4 linked regions of the Cricetulus griseus genome follow. The protein of the gene in region 1 interacts with the protein of each later gene in a pairwise test. Links are inferred from orthologs where the notes say so. Each region holds a gene or a part of one and is shown in the gene's direction. Other genes may lie near its edges.

Region 1 (6,467 bases):
ACAAGATTTTTTTTCCACCCTGTCGTTTCAGGATCGGCTGATCAGAGTAGACAAAGTGAGTACACAGATTTACATAGCTGGTATTATCCTCTTATCCTGAAATAGTAAGGACCAGTGTCAACTTGTAATTTTGTATTACTAGACATAAAATTCTAGTCAATAATTTGAGAAAAACCTAAGTATTAAAAAAATAGAATGGTGCTACCTTTTAAAAACTTTGTATTATATTTAAATATGAAAGCATTATCCCACTTTACTTCACTTACAGTCATAAAAACTCTATGATTGGTCAAATGGAAGCTATTTTTCCAGGTTGATCGAATGGGTAACCAACCAATTGAAGACACTGGCTCATGAAGCAAATGCTGGGGTGCTTTCTATATAATCCTGACAAAAATAGTAGGTTTTATTAGCTCATTTATTTTTGTTTTGTTTTTGAGACAGGGTCTCATTATGTAACCCTAGATGGCCTGAACTCACTATGTAGACCAGGCTAGTCTCACAGAGGACTGCCTACTTGTGTTTCCCAAGTGCTGGATTTAAAGGTGTGTGTCAACACTCCCAGCAAGAGTCTTACAGCATTATGTATCTTAGAGATTTGTTATTAGTTGTTTAGTTTAGTAGTTCTTGTTAGGGTCATAGTTTTTGATAGTGGTTGAATCACAATCCTTTCTCCAGGATGTGATGGAAACATATATTGATGCGTATTTTAATGGCTACTCTTCTGAAAGACACGTGAATACAAAGCTCCTGATACAAATCTTGGTTAAATACATATGTTAGACCAACCATACCCCAAACCAGCCTGTTGGGTATGATTTATCCAGAAAGATTTTTGTGTTTGGTTAGTCAAGTGTCTTGGGCGTTTTTTATGCAACAAGATGTATGTATTTTTAGAACACCTTTGTAATATGGATTAAAGGTTAAGACTTGATTACATAACCAACAGGATGCAAGGTATGTGTCAGCAGTCATAATAAGCCAGTATCTTATGAAGGAACTTTAAATTTAGAAGCTGTAACATTGGATTTCTTTGCCTTCCTGAAAGAATTTGCAAGCAAATAACCAGGTACTTTATACCTTAGCACAGAAACATAAGAGAATGAGCCCTACTATCCAGCAGCCCAGAGTTGTATAAAACTACTACTACAGAGAAACAGAAACAAGACAGAAGCAGAACCTTCATTTGGTCTAACCTTGTTTTGAAACAGAAGTTCTGACCTATGATGTCATTTCTGGAACAGAAAAGCAGAAGTCTTTTCTACATTGTTTATCTTTTTTTTTTTTTTTTTGGCATGGTTTTAAGAGGAACAGAGACCTTCTTTTTAAGGAGTTACTTGAATTCACTGCTTCTTGTGTTGCATTTACACATATATATCCAGCTTCCAATTTTTGAAACTTAAGTCTGCATTTTTAATCATTATAGGCAGTTTAACAACAACCAGGGAAAGTAGATCATGGAAATGTACTCCTTCCACGTGAAGTCCCAATACTAGTTAAGTCTCAGGTTTGTTCTTTTTACAATGGTTTTGAAAATTTTCCAATGGTCTCTTGTCCACTTGCCCCTCTTCTTGGCAGACGCAGGTGTTGGCACTCTCCATGTTGCTGATGTAGTCAGCTCAATCAGATGACTGCAGAAAACTCTCATTATTCAATCGTATTCGAGTCTCTGCTCTGGTTTTAAGTCAGAGCTTTTGGCATTATAGAGCAGGGCAAATAAATCTTGATGCTACAGCAGCGATAGGCTACCAGGAGAGGCCCGCAGGATCTTAAGTACAAGTTACACAGCGGGGGGCTTCTCTTTGAATGACAATGAACTGGGAGATTAGGGGCAAAGGAAGAAGGTCTTCATTCCCACTTAGGGAGGAGGACACCTTTTCTTTCCTCCATAACTGGATGGGAAGCCTGAATCAGGCATGCCTTGGCCTTAGGAAGGTTACTTGGGCCGGCCACCTCAGAGTGGCACGCAGTTCTGACACCCACATAAATACACTATGGGTCATGTAATTGGCCGGTCCCTTCAGCCCCGCGCGCCCAGAAGCCTCGACAACCCGTGGCCCATAACCCATTCCCCCCGCAGCGTCAAGGCGAAGCGACGCCGGGTGGCATGGCGAGTGGATTTCCCGCGCCCCGGGTGGCATGGCGAGTGGATTTCCCGCGCCCCCTCGGCCGCGCGCTGAACCCGACGCGGCGCGGGCTAGTACCGGTCCGAGCCGCGCGCGCCCCCGTCCCGGGGAGGGCTAGAACCGGCCGCCTCCAGGCCGCAGCTGAGCTGGGCGGGGCCGCCTGCAGCCCCGAGCGCGCGGGCGCCGGGCAGGAAGACGCGGGCGGCCGTGAGTGCGCAGGCGCGCGGCGCCCCGCCTCCCCAGCGTCGGTCCGGGCGGGCGGCGCGAGCCCTCCCATTCTTCCCCCGCGCGCGCCTCACGGCTGCGGCCCTCGCTTCAACCGACGCCCGCGTGCGCGCGCCCGCCGCCGCCGCCTCCCGCCCGCAGCGCCCGGGCCTCCGCCCGTTCGTCCGCCGCCGCTCGCCGCCGGCCCCCGCTCGAGTTCACGCTGCCTCCCGGGCCGGCGCGGCCGCGGGCCACCGCTGCCCCGCCCGCCGCCATCCCGCCCCCTCCCCGCCTGTTCCGCCCGCCCGCTGCCACTGCCGCCGCTGCCGCCGCTCCGGATGAGGTGATGGCAACGGCCAACTTCGGCAAGATCCAGATCGGGATTTACGTGGAAATCAAGCGCAGCGATGGTGAGCCGCGCCGGGGCCGGCCAGCCTTTTGATTGCTCCGCGGGGTTGTGGGGGCGGGAAGGCGGCGGCCCTGGCGCTTTTGTGTGCGGCGTTGTGCGGGTGAGGCGGGCGTGGGGTCCGCCCGGGCGCCGCTGCAATGCGGGGGGCCGGGCGGGGGCCGCTCCCGGCCGGCTTCACCATCCTCCCCGGGGACTCCGTTAGAGATGACCGTGCCTCGCGCTCCCCCCGGCTCTGCCTTTTACCGGTCTCTGCATAGATGGCGTGGCCAGGGTGGGAGCGTGAAGATCTGGGGGATTCGGCACCGAGAGACCCGACTGCCAGCCAGAGGCCGTTGGGCAGCCATCCGGTTGTTTTTAACTGCTACCCGGTTGTCAGGCCTCTCTGCCTCTCCTCTGCAAGCGTGCTGCCTTCCTTTTTGCTCGTCCCTGTCCAGGGAGAAGGGTGCAGAGAGAGAGAATGCTGCACTCGGCCATGAAAAGGGGTGGGGGAGCAACGGAAAGAAATACTCAATACGGTTCGCCAAGGTGATGGTACTGAAAGGGATGGAGAGAGGGTGGACGAAGTCCACTCGAGGCACCACTGAGAGGGTGGGGGTGGGCGACCGGATGTTGATATTTTCACACCCTCGGGACGTAACTGAGAAAAGTGTAAGGCGAGGTGAAGACACATGTTTAATTCTTTTTTTTTTTTTTTTTTTTTTTTTTGAGACCCGTAGGCTTTTAGACGTTTCTGTGGGTTCCTCTTGGGGGGAAATGTTTTATGTCACTGACTTCGAAGTGTAAAGTAGAAGTCATTTATAGTGTAAAGGAAATAATGTGTACAGGGGGGATGAATGAAACTGTTTTTCCTTAATTCGAATATTGGAAAAACGGATTAACGAGAATTGTGAGTTGATTGTTGATTGCATCTCCCTTATAACCAATTCTTTTTACTTACTTTTGACCTATTCACCATCCTCTAATGCCCTAGCTAATAACGGCATGGCTATGTCACCCACTTCTTGGTTTCTACCAAATTCGACCAGGTTATGTCAATGATGTGAGTAGATTGAATTTCCTGTTACTTGTATTTGGAAGACTCTGAATCGTTAATGATTTTTCCCTCCATCTTTGCATTTGAGGTAATTTGTGGTAACTGGAAGCATCACTATTTTGTGTATGAGAAAATAAACTTGTAGAGCTGTAGAAGTTACCAAAGGGGTAAGAGATGCTTCATTTACTTGGATTAGGGTTTGCTTTATTATTTCTCTGCAGATTACTTTCTTGTAATCATTATGTTGTTTCATGCCATTTTATTTTTTGGTGAATGTGGGTTGGCTGTATATCAACATATATAGGCTTTATGTGTTAACTTAAAACTTGGAAGCATAATAAAATATAAGTTTTTGCAAGTCTTAACTATGGCTGGTAACTGAAACCTTCACAAAAATAACATGACAATTGAGATTTCTGTTACAGTTTTTTGGAGATGCCATTTTTTAAAGTGTATTGGACTTGAAGTAATTTTGGTACTTTGTTGATTCTAGGATATAGGATTATAATATTCCTTCTGCCATTAGTTTCAGCCTATACCAGAAATTCTGACACACAACAGCTTTATATTCCAAGTCAGAGTAATCTAGACAACATTCTCAAAAGTGACTTTTCACAAGAAGTAGTGAATGTCAGTACAGTGTGTACTGCCCTAACCTATAGGCTGTAAATATTTAAGTGCCTTGGATACAAAAGGGTAAAGGTAGGTAACTTTTAAAAACGTTTAAAATCTCTTATTTTTGGAGACCTTATGTCTCAGGCTGGCCTTGAACTTGTTTTATAGCTGAGGACCTTGAATGCCTCCTGCCTCCACCTTCTGAGTGCCAATTTATGAGGTTCTGGGGATCAAGCATTCACCAGTTGAGCTTCACCTTCAGCTCTGAAAAGTGGGTAACCTTTAAAGGAAATAATTAGCATTCAAATTGTTTTGCAGTTGGATTTCATGTCTAGAAGATTCCCTCAAGCTTTTCCTCTTCACTTTAAGGGGGTGTTTTTGTTCCCTTCTGTAACAGGTCAGTGATTATATAAAATACCAGTGGTTATTGCAATAAATAAATGAACAAACAAACAAGCCTTGTGATTGAATTACCACTGATATCCTGAGACGTGACATCATAGGAGAAAAGAAGGGCTACTCAGCCTGCTGTTAACTGGGCAATACTGTGTTGCATACATGATCTTTGTCCCTGACAAGCAATTCCTATCAATAATAGTTATATAGTAAAAGATTCCAAAGGCCAAATTGTAAACCAGAATGGGCTTATTCGTGTGTTTGAAGATTCTAATCCCAGTAAGTCTACACTGATGGTTAAAACCAGACTACCAGTGGGCTTCTGAATTCTTAAGTCATCCTAAGTCATGTCATTCATGAGACAGCATATTTCCTTAAGCACTGATATTTAGAACTGTACTGCCTAATAAGTTTTCAGACTACATGGCTTAAGTAGATGATCAAAGATACATTCAAAGATACACTCATTTCATCCAGAGCCAGGATGTCACAGGATTAAAATACTTAACGACCTCAGAAACTGCTTGAATACATGTGCATCACCCCACACACCCATGTGGGTACCAGTTGAGTGCATTGCTCATTAGTGGATTTTTGTTTTCAAACATTATGTTAGGGCTGGTAAAAAAGTTCAGCCTGATGACCTGAGTTCAGACTCCAGGATATTCATCATGGGAGGAGAGAACCAGTTCTTGCATTATTTTAATTAGCCAGCCATCTGAACTTTTATCAGAAAAGAAAACCCTCTGTCTGCTCATTTCTGTACTACCACCTTCCCACTGTGACTCCCCTTCCCTGGTGGCCTCTTAGTTTAGGGTCCTCAGGTTGAGTTTTTTGTTTTGTTTTATTATGCCCCCCCCTCCAATATTCTAAGGTTAGATATTCTAAGGTTAGATATGGCAGGAATTTAGCTTAAACTCCAGTGGTTGCTTCCAATCACAGGTAAACTGGTATGAGATTGGAATGGTTTCTTAAAATAGTCACATTTTCTTGCTTATGTCTTAATATTACTTGATTTAGGTCCGTTTTAGGATTCAGTGACTCTAAAAAAAACTACAATTATACAGATGTATAGTTAGATAGCCTGTATTGGAAAAAAATTGTTTAAAGCTGCACTATTAAAACAAATTCTGTGGTAACAGTGACTGGCTTCCCTAAAGGAGAAAGGGGCATGGCTGAGAAATAGTAAATATTTGAAAAGTGCAGCTGAGGTGGCATTGGTCTCTTAGTTGATGTGTTACCTAATGGGATTGTTTCAAATTTCAACTAAAAATCTTGGAAGATTTAATTCTCATTTTATACAAATGGAAACTGCGTCATGGGTCAGCATGAGATCACAGCTTGTCAGTGGCAGTTAAGAACCTGCTTTGCATAGCATAGAAACGTGAGTACCAAGAATTATAACACGAAGGAAGAATTCTCTGCTCCTTCAGAACTATATATACTGCTTTCTGCAGCCTGGTTAGGATGTAGAAATTGTGTCTCACTCATGGAAAAAGCACTACAGAGCATTTTGTACAGCCACATTTTGATAAATAATAGTTACTAGAGTGTCACAAGACCCAAAATTGTGGAGAAAAAGATTCATGTTTCTTAATTAAACATTGAGAATCAGTGTCTTCATTAAAACATCTGAAAAGCATAGGAGATGGGGATTTCAGAGGGCCATCAGGGATGCTGGAGT
Region 2 (5,368 bases), on another chromosome or scaffold:
TAAAGGTTCTTGCTGCCAAGTCTGACAACCTGAATTTGATCTCCAGGACCCATGTGGGGTAGAGAGTTGTTTTCTATATATGTAAGCATACCAACACACACACACACACACACACACACACACACAATATTTTTTTAAGGCCTCTAATGAGAACAATTCCACCTTCCATCTGTGGTTAGCTGTTTCTTCTCCCCTCTCTCTAGATTATGCCTGGGTTTCATGTGTGCTAGGTAAGCTCCAGTGCCAGCAAGCTATGCCATCAGTCTCTCTTATTGTATATGATTTCCTTCTATATTTACTGATGAAGCTATTCTGTCTTAATTCTGTCTCACTTTGCACACTATTGCTTCCTACTGTGGAATATATAGGATATGAGGTTCTTTTCATTTTCTCTCTGTGTGGCCACAGAGTTTTCATGCAGTTCCTTTGCTTTGTTAAAGCAATCACAGTGGGTTTGTGACATATATTCACACAGTGTAAAGGAATATCCACACAGGCACATGCTCAACACGCCTGACTTGTCATGTGCCTTTGACTACCAAGAACTGGTAATCCTATGTATTGTGCAGAGTTTGAGTCCAGACCTGGAAAACTCAGTTAAAGGGGTGACACTTCTCCTTAGAAAATGCCCAGGCTCCCACAGTGATGCATGGATTCAGGGTTTTACAGACGCCACATTGAGGCCTCAGATGGGAGAGGCACCATCTTATCAGTCTAACAGTCGAGCCCTTCTCAATTTCCTCTTCTTTATACAGCTCCTGCCTGAAGAGTCGCTGAGTCTCTTTTTCCAAGAATGCCATAAACAAGCCACACAGGGCTTCAAGCTCCACATGCCAAAGGGTCGATACTGGCGGCTTCGACTAAGTCCCGGTAATTTTTCTTTCTGTAGTGCTGGGGATGAAACCCGGGATTTCACACATGCTAGGCAAGCAAGCCTTACTGACTGAACTACACACCCCCCCCCACCCCACCAGCCCACCGTCTCCGTAACTTCCCATGCCCATCTTCTCCTTCCAGGGGTTCCCAGTGTGTGACTGGTTCAAGCCCTCCCCATTGGTCACCATCCTTGCACCTTCTGTGCCCTTCTCTCTGGTGCCCATTGGATTTCCATAGTCTCACAGTCTTTCCTTTCTCTTCTGTCACCCCAGAACATCCCAGTGCTCCTAGCGAGTATGCAGGGATGGTGGTCTACACTGTGTTGGAGCCCGTGCTGCGAGGACTGCAGGGATTGTCACCCGAAGCCCAAGCCCCCGCCCTCAGCCAGGCACTAACAGCCATACTGGGTGCCTGGCTTGATCACATCCTCACCCATGGGATCCGGTTCAGGTGGGAAGGAAAGATGGTCGTGGCAGCGGGAGAATGTCAACAGGGAAAAATGGAGAACTTTTGGGTAGAGCAGTGTGGGGAGGCAGAAATGTCAGGTGGCCACATTGTACCTGGACATCTAGCCTGCAGGGGGCGCTGCAGCTCAAACAAGACTTCGGAGTGGTCAGGGAGGTCCTGGAACAGGAGCAGTGGGGCCTGTCCCGGGAGCTTCGTCAGACTCTGCTGTCACTCAGCATCTTCCAGCGGCTAGATGGGGCCCTGCTGTGTCTCCTGCAGCAGCCCCTGCCCAAGAGTCCAGTCCACAGAAGGCCTCCCTGTTGCTGTGAGTCATTACCCCTCTCCAACCCCAGGTTTACCCAAGTCCCTCCATCACTGCTTTAAGAGACTCCCATCTCACCACTGACTTTCAGCATCACCCACCAACCTGCCTTCCACTTCTGCCTTTCCAGGTTTTTGTAATGAAGTCCAGACCACTGAACTGCCCACCAGCAGCCTCAACAGCCTGGAAAGCTTGGCTCCCCCTCTCCGGCCTGGACTCTCCCCAGCCCAGAACATGCTCCTGCTAAGCACTCTGGAAGGAGGAGGAGGAACAGAAGGAGCAGCAGGAGGAGGAGGAGCAGGAAGAGGAGGAGGAGGAGGACCTAGTCCTGAAGCTTACCTGGCTGGAAACCAGCAGGCCTGGCTTGCCCTGAGGCTGCACCAGCACCCTCGTTGGCACCTGCCCTTTCTTTCCTGCCTGGGGACAAGTCCTGAGCCCTAAGTTGCCTAGGATCAGGAGTTGCAAATCATGGTCTGTTAAGCCCCAGTCAAGGAACTGTATGTTAGGCTTAAAACGGGGAGCTTGGAAGAACACGTACATAAACTACACCGTCTGGAATTGAATCCACGATCACCCTAGTACCTGCAATCCAGAGTAAGGGGCAAACCAGAGCCCGAAATCTGAAAGTTGGCAACAGTGGAGACAAGAGCTAGAAATAGCTAGTCTACAGGGTTGATTCTCAGGAGACAGAAGCAAGCTACATGCTTTCTCTTGAATCCCAGGAACAAGGCTTCCCCGTCTTTATTTTTAGTCATTAGGCTGTAGGACCTTGACAACATTAAGCGTTGGCCGTTCAGCTGCCAGGGTGGGCTTGCTTCCTGGTGGGCGGACAATCCTCATTGGAAGGAGCCAGGATTTAGGATGGTGCTGACCTAGATCTAGCCGGCAGGACACTGAAGCGGGAAAGCTGCAGGAGACGTGTTTTCGTGCAAAAGGGGTTTTTGCACATTCACCGTCTACGCTGTGTGTGGCACAGGGTATGGCTAATTGCTGAAGTATTTGCGGACCGCCCACTCTGGGTCCCTTGGCGGCCCGGGAGGACAGCCGCTACAAGTCGCGCAGAGGCCGCCGGAAGCGGTCCGTTCCAATAAAGCGATCCCCAGCACTACTTCCGGAGCAGAGGTAACCATGGCGTCGGCTTTGGCTCGCGTCGGACTGAAGCCGGTCAAGCTGGTTCGAGTTCAGTTCTGCCCGTTTGAGAAGAACGTGGAGTCGACAAGGTTCGTGTTCTGGGGGTGGGGATGGGGGGCTCGCTCACGGTCGACCCCCTGCCGGAGTGCCAAGCTGCTCGGACCGGCCCTCCCTGCCTCGTGCACGCCCCTTGGTCCCCGGGCGCGCTCACGCTGCCCTCCCACCGTAGGACGTTTCTCCAGGCGGTGAGCAGCGAGAAAGTGCGTGCCACAAACCTCAACTGTTCGGTGGTCGCCGACGTGAGGCACGACGGCTCCGAGCCCTGCGTGGACGTGTTATTCGGTAGGCCTGGCTGGGGGGCCGGCGGGCGGGCGGGCGGCAGCGGAGCCCTGCGCTGCGGACTCCGGGTCTCTGACTCGTCGCTTTGCATCTTCTTAGGAGATGGCTATCGGCTGATTATGCGCAGCGCTAACCTCACCGCTCAGGAAATGTTCACTGCCTTGGCCTCCCACATCCGGGCCAGAAACGCAGCGGCAGCATCCGCAGCGGCCAACGCAGACAAGCCCGGCCCAGTTAATGGTACCCGGCGCTGACACTGCAGAGGACATAACAACCAAATGTTAGCTTGGAACGAAAAGACTGCTGTCTAAGAGAAGGCTGGGCTTAATCACTCGAAGGTTACGCGAAGGTCACGAACAGACTGACACCTACCCGTGCTTTGGGGGCAAGATAAGTAAGGTTAGGTGATGGAGGGTCTGGACAAATTTGAATTTTTCTTTCTCCTCTTCCCTCGCTGCTTAACCATATTTGAGTTTGGCTTCACTTATCACCCAAGTATCCTTTAATTAAATATTTATTACCAAATGAATTCTTTTTCTCGGGTTGTTTGCTTGGTTCGTAGAGACAGACTCGTGTCATGAGCTGACCTGAAACTTGCTAGTAAACTAAGGTGAACTAGAAATTTGAAAGGATTCTCCTGGTTTCAAGGCTCCTGAGTGCCCGGATTATAGACATGCATCATCACACCAGGCTTCATACCTCATCTTTCTTACTTAGTTTGTCTACTCTTTGTATATCTTTAATAGTTTTTGCTTACTCTCATAAAGAATCTGTCAGTTTGGGTTTCTATTTATGGATACGCCATGGCCAAGGCAACTCTTACAAAGAAAAGACATTCAATTGGGGCTGGCTTACAGTTTCTGAGGTCCATTATTTATCATCGTGGTAGGAAATATGTTGCCACACAGGCAGACAGGGTACTGTAGAAGTTGCTGAGAGTTCTACATCTTGATCCACAGGCAGTAGGAAGAGATTACAACACACTTCCTCCACCTACTAATAGGGCCAAGCATTCAAATACATGAATCTATGGCAGCCATTCCCTAAAACCATCACAAAGCTACTCATTTGTCATAATTAAACTACTCTGGACTTAGATCCTACATTTCTGTTTAGTTTTAATCCCAACTTCTATGGTTACCTACTACCAACTTCCTGCATATGCTACCAACATTCTTTCCTTAAAATGGGATCAGCCCCACCTGGTAGCACAGGCCATCCCAGCTACTCAGGGGGCCAGCCTGGTCTATTTAGCAAGACCCTTCTATTCTCATCATTCTCCTGTGTCACCTGCATTGTCCTGCCTGGTGTCATTTTCCCTAATCATTTTTTGCTGGTACTTAATTTTACCCTTCAAGTACATAATGGCTTATTTCTCATAGCACCTGAAATAGTTTTTAGTCTGGCAGACATTGATGTGATCACGAAATCATTTTAGAGGATTAAATGATATAAAAAGTTATCCATTCAAGCTGGGCAGTGGTGGCTCACGCCTTTAGTTCTAGCACTCGGGAGGCAGAAGCAGGTGGATCTCTGTGAGTTCAAGGCCAGCCGGGTCTACAGAGTGAGTTCCAGAATAGGCTCCAAAGCTACACAGAGAAACCTTGTCTCAAAAAACCAAAAAAAAAAAAGAAAAAAAAAAGTTATCCATTCAAGCCACGCTCTTTTAGGAAACTTTAGTTTTAAGCAAATAACCATGTATATTTTATAACATAAAGGCACTGCTCTCTGTGTGTGTTTGCATTTGCAAGTACTGGGTACATATTGTTTCTTCCATTTGTTTTTTTGAGACAGGGTTTCTCTGTATGGCCCTGGCTGTCCTGGAACTTGCTATGTAGACCAGGCTGGCACTTAGCTCTGCCTCCCTAGAGCTGGGATTAAAGGCATGCCCACCATTGCCCAGCTATTCCCATTGTTTCTTTTCGTGAGTGTATGAATATGTATATGTAGGTGCACTTGCCTGTGTTTGCAAATGTGGAAGCCAAAGGTAGGATATTTTGCTCTACCATGCTCCATCTTGTTTTGTTTCTAAGCAAGATCTCTTACTGAGCCTGGAGCTTACCACTTCCAGCTAGACTAGCCAGCAAGCCTTCAGGATTCCCTGTCTCCATTCCCCCAGGAGGTTACTACCCCAGCTGGCTTTTATGTGGGTATTCTGGATCCCAAGTCAGTTTCTCATGCTTTCCCAGCAAGTGAATTACTGGGCCACTTTCCTAGCCCCTTAGTTCCTTACTGTGAATTACAAGGGAAGGG
Region 3 (5,888 bases), on another chromosome or scaffold:
GATAGATTTTGAAGAACCCCCCCCCATGGAAGGCCTCACCCTCCCTGGGGAGCAGAATGGATATGGGACAGGTAGGGTGTTAATGGCGGACAGGGGAGGAGGGAAGGGAGAGGGACCTGGGATTGACATGTAAAACAATCTTGTTTCTAATTTAAATAAAAAATGGAAAAAAAAAGTGAAAGGTTGCCTGGTGGTTTGGAGCATGCCTTTAATCCCAGTCCTCAGGAGGTAGAGGAAGGCACGCCTCTGTGTCTGGTTTACAAGACCTAGTTCCAGTACAGCCTCCAAAGAAGCCACAGAGAAACCCTTTCTCTGAGAAAAAATAAGAAAGAAAGAAAGAAAAAAAAGAAAAATGTTTTGCCAGGTGGTGGGTGCACATGCCTTTAATATCAGTCCTCTGGAGGCAAAGGCAGGTAGATCTCCAATTTCAAGGACAACGAGGGATGTTACTCAGAGATACCCTATGTGTTGGGGGAAGGGGAGAGGTTTTATCCAGAGTTTACCATTTTTAATAGTTTGGTGTTTGATCCCTTAGGCTCCCCCCATATTATCTACATATAGTCTTTAAAAATATATTTGGCCCTCCCTCCCACCTCCCTCCCTCCCTTCCTTCCTTCCTTCTTTCTATTATTTCTTAGACAGGATTTCTTTGTATAGCTTTGGCTGTCCTGAAACTTGCTCTGTGAACCAGGCTGGCCTTAAACTGGGAGATCCTGAGTGTTGAGATTAAAAGTATGTGCTATCACTACCACCTGCTATTACTTATTTTTTTAGGTGTATGGGTTCATAGCCTACCTTTATGCACCACATGTATTCAGTGCCTACCAAGGCCAGAAAAGGGCATTGTATCTTCTGTAACTGGAGTTAACAAATGGTTGAGAGTCACTGTATAGGTGTGGGAGTTCTCGGGTATTCTCTCAGGCTAGGCTAAGGAGAAGGTTCCATTGATAAAGTACTTGCTTCTCCAGATTTGGATCTCTAGAACCATGTAAAAAGTTAGGCATGATCTTGCTGGACCCGAGTTTTCTTGTTTTCTCATTGCTGAATATCGAACCAACAATGAACTCTACCCCTAGACTATTTGGGACAGGATCTCATGTAGTCCACTCTGCCCCCAGACTGACCATGTAGCAAGGGCCGACCCTAAAATCAAAATGGAGAGATGGTTCAGTGGCTAAGAACACTTGCTCTTCCAGGAGAACACAGGTTTGACTCCCAGCACCCACATAGCAAATCATAATTATCTTCAACTCTAGTCCAGGGGATCTGATGCCCTCTTTTGTCCTTTGGGTACTTCAGGCAAGGCACCCATTAAATAAACAAGGTATATATAAATAAACAAGTTAGGCAAGGCATGGTGTTGTATACCCATGACCCTAGTTCTTGGGAGATGGAAACAGGAGGATCACTCTACCCAGAACCTCAACCTCTAGGTTAAATGAGAAACTCTATCTCAAAAAATGAAGTGGGGGGTCTGGAGCCACGGCTCAACAGTTAACACTGTCTACTCTTGCAGAGGACCTGTGTTTGACATCCAGAACCCACATAGTAGCTCATAATCATCTGTAACTATAGTTCCAGGGGATATGATACCCTTTTCTGGCCTATGCGGGCACTGCACACAGATAGTATATACATATATAAAGGCAGGAAAAGCACTCATAAACAATTCAAGAACTAGTAATCATTAAAACAAAAATAAGATGGAGAACAATTGGTAATCAAAACATGCATGTGTACACAAATATGCATATATCAGACATATATATGACACACATGTTCTGCATTTTATAAAATATATTCACATGTAGACAGCTTTCCTAGAATACTGTCTGTCTCACATTGTCACTTAATGACTATAGATCTACATGACTAAGGAATCTGAAAGAAAGGGATTGCTTTGTTTTAGACATATGGAATTAACATGAACTGGAAGATGAAATTGGATCAGAGAGTGGCATGTGGCAGCAAAGCAGAAGTGTTTGGTGTGCTAAGATTTAGGCTAGGCTAGATGTTAGACACTGCCAGCAGGATCTCTAGAGCCCTAAACTTGGGTGTGTTGTGCCAACCATAGCTACTTTATCTGAACACAAGGTACAGAGTATACATTTTAGCATTAAAGCAGATATATTAAAACAGCTGCACAGGAGATACAGATAGCAGAAGAATTGACCTGTGGGTGCCAGGCACACACATTGTGCATATAGATATATACATGCATTGTCAGATACAAGGGCTCAGGCATGAAGAGCTTGTTAACTCTAAACCTAAAAGACTTTGATTCTTTGTTTCTCTGAATTCAGAGGAAGTAATTCTAATATCTAGGCCTTGCTTTCTCATGATTTAGATGATCTAGGGCCACTCCAAATCTAGGGAGTCTATATCAATCCTTTTATTCAACCTTGTGTTTTTCTCCAGTCAAGCCAGAATGATACTGCTTAGCTTTCTATTAGAATTTGCCTACTCTTATACAACGTTTGTCCTAAGAGAAAAAATTATTAAGTTTTTATGTAGGAAAAAAGTTTTTAAAAATACATGCATACATGTGTAAGTATATGTATTATGTGTACATGTATACATATATACACGGATATGTGTATGTATATGTTTAAAACTACTTTGTTTCTTTAGAAATCAATGTCTGTACTTGAAGAGACATCAAGTCAACTAGCCTTTCTGGAAGAACCAGAACGAGAAGAACGTGAGTTTTTGTTTGATGAAGAGATGGAACAGACAGACAGAAGGAAAAAGACATTTAATGATTGGTCTGATAATGATTCAGATTATGAAATTGATGACCAAGATTTAAACAAGATTTTGATTGTAACTCAGACACCACCTTATATGAGAAAGCACCCTGGAGGAGATCGAACAGGCACCCATACATCACCAGCAAACATTACATCAGAACTTGCTGAAGTGATTAATGATGGCCTGTATTACTATGAACAGGACCTATGGACAGAAGGTGAAAACCTGCGCACAGCCATAAAGGTAACGATTTCTGGTGAGCATCTTTCTGCTGATAGTTTGCTTTGATTGTATGGTATTGCTTGTTTTGTTAATTTCATAAATGCTCAAGTATAAATAAATTATACCCTATTTGAAAATTCTTAGAAATATATTTGATAGTCACAAACTGAGGAACAATTTTAAGTGATGATATAATAATACTATCATCATCAAAAAATATTATTTAATGACTAAAACTTGTGGAAAAATATAATTTCTGATGAAGGAATAAAAAAGTTGCATGGACAGGCCTGCTGGATATGCTTGTTCCATTCTCTTGCCCTTTTACCACAGATTCTGGCCTCTACCTAATTGTTAAGCTAAGGCAGAAGAAAGAACCAGAATGGCTGTCTGGCCTTCAAATGTCTTTAAATTGTAGGCATGTAACAGGGTCTTTTTCTTCTGTTAAACTTTTCAGAGAGGCTTCAAAAGTTAAACATGTCAGTGAGTGATGGAACAGTGAGGGTGAGTTACCTCTCATAGGAGAGCGATCTTAGAAATGAAACTGCTGTAGAAAGAAAAGCTGCCAGCAAATGTTTGAACAGAGGGGACTGCTTATCACAGGCTTGTGAACAAGAGATGTGATCTCCTTAGAATTTCCACTACTGCTTTTAGCCACTGCCTTTTTAGAGAAACTGCCTCAGCTGTATCATGTCAAATGCCTTGAAGCCTGGACATTTTTTGCCTGTCCTGCTACTGTGGGAAAGGAAGTATGCTTTTATGAAGTTTAGATAGAATGTTTTTATTCATAAAAACACATTCGTGTGTGTGTGTCTGTGTGTGTGTGTGTGTGTGTGTGTGTGTGTGTGTGTGTGTGTGTGAACAAATGTGAACAAATTCACTCATATCTCAATGCAAGTGTGGAGGTTGATTTTTTTTTCCTTCCATGTAGGTTCTGGGGATGGAACTCAGGTCCTCAGGCCTGACAGCGAGCACCCTTACTTGCTGAGCCATCTTGCCCACACTGTTAATTTTATTTCTGATGCTTGCTTCTAGAGGTGATGTCTATCTGAAATCACTTTTGTAGCAGAAATATAAATATATTCTACTAATTGCTGGGTCTTGGGACACAGGCCTGTATAATCCCAGTTTCTTGGAGAAGCCAGTAGGAGTAGAACAAATTCAAGGGTAGCCTGATCAATTTCACAAGACCCTGCATCAAAATAGAAGAGGGTATGGCTCAGTGGTAGATCGTTAGCATGATTGAGGCTATTTCCATGATGAAATCACTGTCCTTGGTTCTAAAAGAATAAATATATTGATGTCAGGTTAGATAGTCAGAATGGGCCTCTGAAAAGAGTCAAGTTAGGATGAAATCAGAAAAGGTAAGAATGAAATGTGCAAAAAAGCAGGAAACAGTATTCCAGGAAGAGGAGTCAATGAAGTATCAGTGATCTGAAAAAGAACAACTGACAAATGTGAGATACCAGTTTGCCCATATCTGTATAAGAAGGTAATTATGTTTGTGTAGACACAGTCAGATTAGAATAGAATTTGTAGACCATGTTAAATAGTGTGGAATTTAAAGTTCAAGTGCAGGTTTACAGATACACTGTGACATGATCCTATTTCTATTTATTTATTCCATTTTTTTAAACTTTTGATTTCATTTTACATTCCAACTACAGTTCTCCCTCCCACCCCCTTGCCCACCATCAGTCCACTTCTCCTCACTGGGGTAAAGGGTCCCATGAGGAGTCAACATAGTCTCTTCCATGTATTAAGACTGAGCATGGCATCCCACCATGGGAAATGAGCTAGCTGGTGTACCAGATTTATATCTTAGTCCTACTGCCAGGGGCCCCTCTGATAGTCCAAGCTTCACAACTGTCTCCCACATATGGAATCTCCATAGTTGTAGGTCTAGAGTTCATGAGTTTCCACAAACTTGGTTCAGCTGTCTCCATAGATTTCTCCATCATGATCTTGACCTATTTTTATTTTTAAAAGATCGATGTGGTCCATAGGACAGAAAATAGACAGGCTTTCTATCTAAGAGATGGAGAATGGTAGGCTTAGTTAAATTGGTAGCACAGGAAATAAGAAAATGAGAACTACATCCGAGCCTTGATGGATAAGAGAGAAGATTCAGGCGTGTCAGAAACTCCATGGTTGATTGAGTAGGAGTGCAGAGCCTGCCAAGATGATACTACAGTTTTAATGAAGAATTGGTGATTTCAGAAGCTGTGTTGAACTGGTGTGGCAGGGATAGGCTCACATATCTTTATTGCTAAAGACCAGTGAAATAGCCACATGAACATGACAGATGGTGAAATGAAAAATCTTAAAATCTCCAAAGGTCTGCAAGGTGAGTGATTAGAAAAGTGAGATGGTGGAGCTTGTTTGTGGAATTTTATTGGTGGTGGTGAGTTCAACCTTGCAGAAGCTACCCAAAACAGGAAAAAAGACAGACACCAAAGTTGGGGATTCTAATGAGTGAGTCCATTCATCATCAAATGATTGCCTTTAAAGAATACATTCTATACTTTCCTGGCAGGGAAGAGACCATGGTCAAGAATGTAGGTTTCCTAGATCAAGGCTCATCTACTATATTTGAAATATGCTGACCCCTGAAAGTTCTCAAAAATTCAGTAAACTCTACTGTGTAAGTTGTTGTGGGGGAGTGTATGCATGCTCTCCCCTAAATTAAAAAAAAAAAAAAAAAAAAGCTAAATAGTTTCTCAGTGAAAAAACTTAATTTGCCTTTTTACTTCCTCCCCTAGGGAACAGAACATTTTACTGGTTGTTTTAAACAGAATAGAGAAGGAAAAAAAATTACACTAGAGGTGTATTCCTGAAGCCCAAGTATAGTGATTGGGGGCTATAGAGATGACTCAGCAGTTAAAAGTACCTGCTGCTCTTTCAAAGAACATAGG
Region 4 (5,888 bases), on another chromosome or scaffold:
GGATGTGTTGGCAGCTTACTCATTCTGCCATGTTAAATTCTTCACTTCCTGTACGGCTCCCATTTGTAGGTGTGGTATTGCATCCTTGAGAGCAGCTGCCATTCCAAACTACCACAAAGTGGCCAGCCCAGATGTTTTCTTTCTGGCCCCGGTCAGGAGGTTATTTAGGAAAAAGCTGCTATAATGCCAGCAGATTTATCCATGTGTTTGTTTTCTTTTCTCTCCCTGGAACTGTTGTCATGGCCTCTTTCTCAGAAAAGCACAGGAATTTTTAAATATAGTTACTCCCTCCCTTTAAGCAAAACTGACATTTTTCTCTCTGGATAGGAAGGGACAGGGAACTATTGTTTTTCAGTTTTAGGAATCAAAGGCCCGTCAATATTTCTCCATGCCTTAGGCACACATATGGGCTGGTGTCACGTGTGTGTGTGTGTGTGTGTGTGTGTGTGTGTGTGTGTGTGTGTGTGTCTAAAGATGCTAAGGAAAATGTCTAAAGAGTGAATTTGCCTAGGAAATTAAAGGCCCTTAAGATGATCAACTAAAACTAAAGGCCTCTACAGCACATTGTCTATCTGGGGTTATAGCTTGTGGTTTATGTTTATATTTACACAAGATCATATATAGCCAGGCTGTGGTGATGCACGCCTTTCATCTCAGCACTCAGGGGGCAGAGGAAGGTGGATGGATCTCGGTGAAGTCAAGGCCTGGCCTACAGAGTGAGTTCCAGGACAGCCAAACCTGTTGTTATATAGAGAAACCCTGTCTTATAAACCAAACCACACACACACACACACACACAGAGAGAGAGAGAGAGAGAGAGAGAGAGAGAGAGAGAGAGAGAGAGAGAGAGAGAGCGCTAAAAATTAGAGTTGTTTTTACCTATGAACTTAACAGTTAGAATAGGGATATGGTAGATATTGGTGAGGAGTTATAAGTTTTTATTTGGGCAGGTTAGACTGAAGCAGAAAAGTTAAGGTCCAGACGATGGAACAGAAAGGTTTGTAGGAAAGGAGATTAGCGTGGACCAGTGTGGTTTGCACCTGTGATGGGTGTGGAACATCAAATGTGTCACCAGGAAGCTGTTTTCTTTTGTCTCAAGTCTCTGGAAGATTTAGAAGGCAGCACATTCTGCAGGGGGTGACTGGTGAATTTTCTCCTCCCATCCCCTGCCTGATGAGTATAAACCACTGGTTGAGAATGGAATGGGTATAGAGCAAATTCATGACTGCAGCAGTATACTGTGTATGTGTGTGTTTGGGGGGTGGTGGTGACTAGAAAGATGGGTTTGGCTACTCTGGGTAGATATGTGGACAAGCAGATGAGAGAGACATTGCATTTTTATGTGAACCGTGACCTGCTACAGTGGCGTGTGTGGATGAGTCCTGCAGCAGATGGGCACAGAATGCATTAGTGCACTAAGAGGTTGGGCATAGTAGCTGGAACTTTGGCCAGCCAACTGAAATTCCTGTCTGTCTGTGGAACAGCCTGGAGGGAACTCTAACCCCTCTGTTGTGTGGGTAGGAAATGGAGGATTCAAAAGTCAAATGTTTTATCTCCATTCCCTAGAGTTTATATGAGAACTAACTAGTAAGGCAGTATGCATGTGTTATTATGTTATCTTATGTGTGTAATAATGGGGGCCTGGACATAGCCAATACTTGTGAATGTAATCACAAAAGTCCAGATAACATAGATGCTCAGAAGAAAAGGAGATAGGTCTTGGTTAGTCATTTCTTATTACTCATGTTTTGTAGACTCGTCCACAAAGCCTTATGAGCTAATTTTCTATACTCACCTCCATCCTCTATGGGAATTTTTTCCTGGCCAAAAAAAATCATAAAAATATGATGTGCAACAGACGCCATCTTGTTTGTGATGTCCTTTTTACTCATTGCTGTTAAAATGATTTTTTGGGGAGGGAGGGTCTGCTGGAATATTGTCTTAGGGAATGGACTACAGCTCGGTGGTTAACTTGTATAGGTTCTGGAATGGGTCCCCAACACATGGTGGGTGCAGGGAGAATACTGTCTGAGAACAGAAGGCAGATTAATTTTATGTTTTTCAGGTAACTAAACAAGACAAGAACCTCATAAAGCCTCTTTATGACCGATGCAGAATTATCAAGCAAATCCTGTCAACACCGTCCCTGATTCCAACAATTGTAAGTAAAGATGGCTGCTCTAACTGGAAACCTTGACTGGCACCTTGTATCTATGCTCGTTAGCACTACAGCATAGTACCATGAATGTTACCAAGGGGCCTTCCTAGCTGAGTATACTATGATCCCACCAGCTGCTGTCCTCTTGCCTAGCCCAGTGCTGTACTTAACAGTGTTCTAACAGGAACTGCTGTGAAACAGAGCATACCAAACTGGCATGCTTGGGGCCATTCAACATTTAATTTCATTTCTTGACCCTCCTTTTGGGTGAGGAAAAAACATGATTGGTTTCAGTGTGGCACTGTCTGATTGTTAACACAGCTAAATAAGAAAGAGCCTCTCGGTTATGTGTTGTGGTTAATAAAACTGGTGCTGCAGTCTTTGAAATATTGAAACATTGTTTTGGTTCCATCTGATCACACTATACTAGATATAAGCAGATTTTGTCAATAAAAAGAAGTGCTGAAACAGTAGGGCTATATTTTAAATAAATTTATAAATTTCAAAACGGCTACTCAAGATATCAGCATAGAAAGCAGCAAATAAGAATTTAAATAAATATGAAATTAAATCTACTTGAGTATATTTATAATTTTGTATTTTAAAGGATGTTAGGAGAATGGAAAATTCTGTCTAAAATTGAGGACGAATAATAGTTTAAAGGAGAATATGACTTTCAGGTTTCAAGAGAACCTTTTGTCTGTCATAATAACCAGAAAGGTTAAAGGAGTAACTACAGCTTCTTTGGCCTTCTAAGGGCCCTTCTGAACCTGAACATCCTTAGCATCCTCTGCATTGACTGTGGCCTGCTCTGGGTCTGAGTGGGACATTTTCTGGATAAAGTGTCTGTAGTGCACCCTGCCCTAACCTGGATTTCTTCTGTGAAGCTGGAATACAGAAGGTCTGGGGGTTGGGAGGATCCACTTGATCACACAGTACAACTTGGGCTGTACCCTGAATGCTTGTCTTCCTTGGCCCAGTGGATATAGATAAACTTGGGAAGCACTGTAGCTCAGCACGGATACCTTTTTACTTCCACAGGTTATTAATGAAACTGAGCAACAGCTCTTGGTGTAGTGTCCATTCTAGTTCTCAGCAGCCATGTGGGCTACCTGTCTACTGGCTTGTAGGGTCTTATAGTCCTCTCAGATGCTCAAGAGACATGTAGCACCTTGTGACTTTTTGACTCTGCTTGTGACAAGCAGGAGGAAGAGGACTCTGATGAAGACTGTCCACAGAGAAGCCAGCCACCTTCTTTACCAGATCCAGTGTCCCGCCTTCCTGTTGGTGATCACCTCACCTACTCTGAGACAGAGCCTATGAGGACCCTGCTACCAGATGAGAAGAAAGAAGGGAAGCAACCAGCTCTCTCCATGTCCAACTTACACGAGGCCACCATGTGAGTGAGCAGCCCGAGTGTGGGCTCTTAAAACTCCTGGCTTGGGTACCTTGCCTGGGCATTAAAAACTCAACATCTGTTCAGAGCCTAAAATGTGCTCTCTAGCAGAGAATAGACCTGAAAGTGGCCTAACTGGAAAATACAGAAGACAGAGCCGTGAGGTACCCCACAGTAAAGTCCTACATCTGTCCTAAGGATTGATGTGCAATTACTTTGATCCTACTTTCCTGTTGAATCTTGGCACTATTAACCCTTGTAACCCTTAGCTGTGTCAAAGGAGAGCTGGTCTTTGAATACTGGACCCAAAGGAGTAAGATCCTCAGTGGGTCTACAGTGGCCAGAGCCTTTCTTTTCTTCCTTTGTTACATCCAGATGACATAGTGTACCAGACCAGGAATAACCTCGGCCCCCAGTCAATGCATGGATCTTTTGTCTCCTAATGACTCTCAGTTAAGAACTTTCTGGATTTTCATTACCATTATCACTCTTCAGTTGTTGGCATATCTCTTGATCATATGACCTTTTTGGTTTGTATGTAACATCCCACACTAAGGAGGTCCTCTTTAAACAAGCCTTATATACTCTGCTTAGTGTGTGTCCCAAATGGAGATGAAGGAAAAAACCAAGGACAGTAAGCAGTTTTTAGCCTGGTGGAGAGCTCTCACTCTCTCCAACCTTTGGGTGGTAGTTGTCAAACAGCCATCCCTAAATTTCAGTGGGTGTGGGCATTTTTGAGATTGATAAGATTTGACTTAGAGAAAATGCCTGTATATAAAGTCGGTGTTCAGTTTTATTCCCAATGGTTTTGTTCTTCTTCCCACACTCTAAGGACATATTTTTTTTTCCTCTTGTGTCTCTCTTATCTATACTTGGTCAACAAACATTGGTGTGTATTCCTTGGATGTCTGCTCCATCCTGTCATCCTTAGTATAGCACCATAACTGTTACCCCCCCTTTTTTTTTAACAGCAGATGTAATACACTGTTTCTCTGTGCCCATGACACTGTTAATGTCAGGGAATACTAGGCTTGTGTGCTGCTCCTACACTGAGGCCACATTTACAATGTGTGCCACATTTAGAAAATCCTTCTATCATCACTTTTCAGTCATAATGGGCCCATTTTGCTGATCTGACATAATTCAGTCATGATCAGTCAGTCAGGTCAGTGCTCAGTAATGCAAATGTGTTTCACTTGACACAGGCCAGTCCTTCTTGACCATCTCCGAGAAACTAGGGCTGACAAGAAGAGGCTACGGAAAGCCCTGCGAGAATTTGAAGAACAATTTTTTAAACAAACAGGAAGGTAAGTTGAGTAGAGAGGGTTTTTTATGCTAATTATTTCCTAAAGAACTATAGTTCAGAATGAACTCTGCTTTTGTATTAACAGTGATGAGATGTCAATCCTAGCTAAAGACTGTGTTTTCCCCAATGCAATACCCCATGGTAACATTGTGAGGGATGTTTTATGGGATATTTATGTTAATAGCTGCCAGATATTAACATCAGTCTTTACAAAATGAAAACTGAACTCTGAAAATGTTTTCTATCTGCTGAAATTATCTAAGCTTAAAAATTGACTTGATTTTCAGTCCTTGTTCTTAGACTCTTAGTTCCATAAGTTATTTTCTACCTGTTACATGAATACTTCTCCTTTAAATATATCCTCTAAACTTCACCACCTATCTCCTGTTTGTTTTATTCCAGGGTTTAGTCAAAAGTTCATAGCTATTTTTCTCTCCCCAAAATATTTAGTTGGACCATCTGTCTTCCTATGTTTTTCTATGTCAACCCAGCTGTTACTATACGCTTATTAATTTCCTGTAATTTTTCCTGGGTTACCAACAAAACTGTGTATATGTCACCAGGTAATGAATGTTAGTGTCTTTTAGAGAAGAGACACATCACTTAGCTGTCCTCAGTCTCTGTTTACACCAATAAGCGGAAATGCTTTGTCTCCTTGGATAAGCAAGCATGTAACTTTCCCCAAATCACAGAGCTTTTAAGTGCAGAGAGGAACTGGGTGGTTCTTCCTACTGACACACTGGCTTGGGCTTATTTTCCCACCTGCCTTTCTTTCATGCCTTGCTGTGACAGCATCTCAGCCCACAGGCTGCTGCGAGGGAGTGGTACTGTGCTAAAGCACTTTGAGACATCCAAGCTTAGCCTGCTCGTATCATCAGTTGGATAGCTTTTCCAGGGCTGTCCATTAGCAGTGGGCTCCCTAGGTGAGAAATTTGTAGCTCAACAAAGTAATATGGTGATTAGGTGCTTGAGTACATTTCTGACTTACATTAAAGTTCCTTTTTAAATTATTCAGTTGGAATCTTTCA

What was found.
Region 2: the proteins of Kif2a (region 1) and Mrpl53 interact in binary tests that used the Homo sapiens proteins (3 or more experiments, as listed by UniProt). The two-hybrid records come from large-scale screens. The link is inferred for Cricetulus griseus from reciprocal best matches to the Homo sapiens genes KIF2A and MRPL53.
Region 3: the proteins of Kif2a (region 1) and Larp1b interact in binary tests that used the Homo sapiens proteins (3 or more experiments, as listed by UniProt). The two-hybrid records come from large-scale screens. The link is inferred for Cricetulus griseus from reciprocal best matches to the Homo sapiens genes KIF2A and LARP1B.
Region 4: the proteins of Kif2a (region 1) and Fam13c interact in binary tests that used the Homo sapiens proteins (3 or more experiments, as listed by UniProt). The two-hybrid records come from large-scale screens. The link is inferred for Cricetulus griseus from reciprocal best matches to the Homo sapiens genes KIF2A and FAM13C.

The regions. Positions count from the first base shown.
Region 1 is NC_048595.1:325,092,254-325,098,720, reverse strand, and holds the start of Kif2a (kinesin-like protein KIF2A), read left to right. Parts: upstream 1-2,589; 5' UTR 2,590-2,676; coding exon 2,677-2,740; intron 2,741-6,467. UniProt on the Homo sapiens protein: Plus end-directed microtubule-dependent motor required for normal brain development. May regulate microtubule dynamics during axonal growth. Required for normal progression through mitosis. Required for normal congress of chromosomes at the metaphase plate.
Region 2 is NC_048601.1:74,278,739-74,284,106, forward strand, and holds Mrpl53 (39S ribosomal protein L53, mitochondrial), read left to right. Parts: upstream 1-2,608; 5' UTR 2,609-2,773; coding exon 2,774-2,865; intron 2,866-3,005; coding exon 3,006-3,118; intron 3,119-3,214; coding exon 3,215-3,369; 3' UTR 3,370-3,644; downstream 3,645-5,368. Other genes in the region: Ccdc142 (coiled-coil domain-containing protein 142), read left to right, coding at 756-870, 1,149-1,326, 1,449-1,648, 1,776-2,086.
Region 3 is NW_023276806.1:109,059,716-109,065,603, reverse strand, and holds part of Larp1b (la-related protein 1B), read left to right. Parts: intron 1-2,631; coding exon 2,632-3,007; intron 3,008-5,494; exon of another isoform or gene 5,495-5,656; intron 5,657-5,888.
Region 4 is NW_023276806.1:267,183,494-267,189,381, reverse strand, and holds part of Fam13c (protein FAM13C), read left to right. Parts: intron 1-2,065; coding exon 2,066-2,161; intron 2,162-3,360; coding exon 3,361-3,557; intron 3,558-4,759; coding exon 4,760-4,861; intron 4,862-5,888.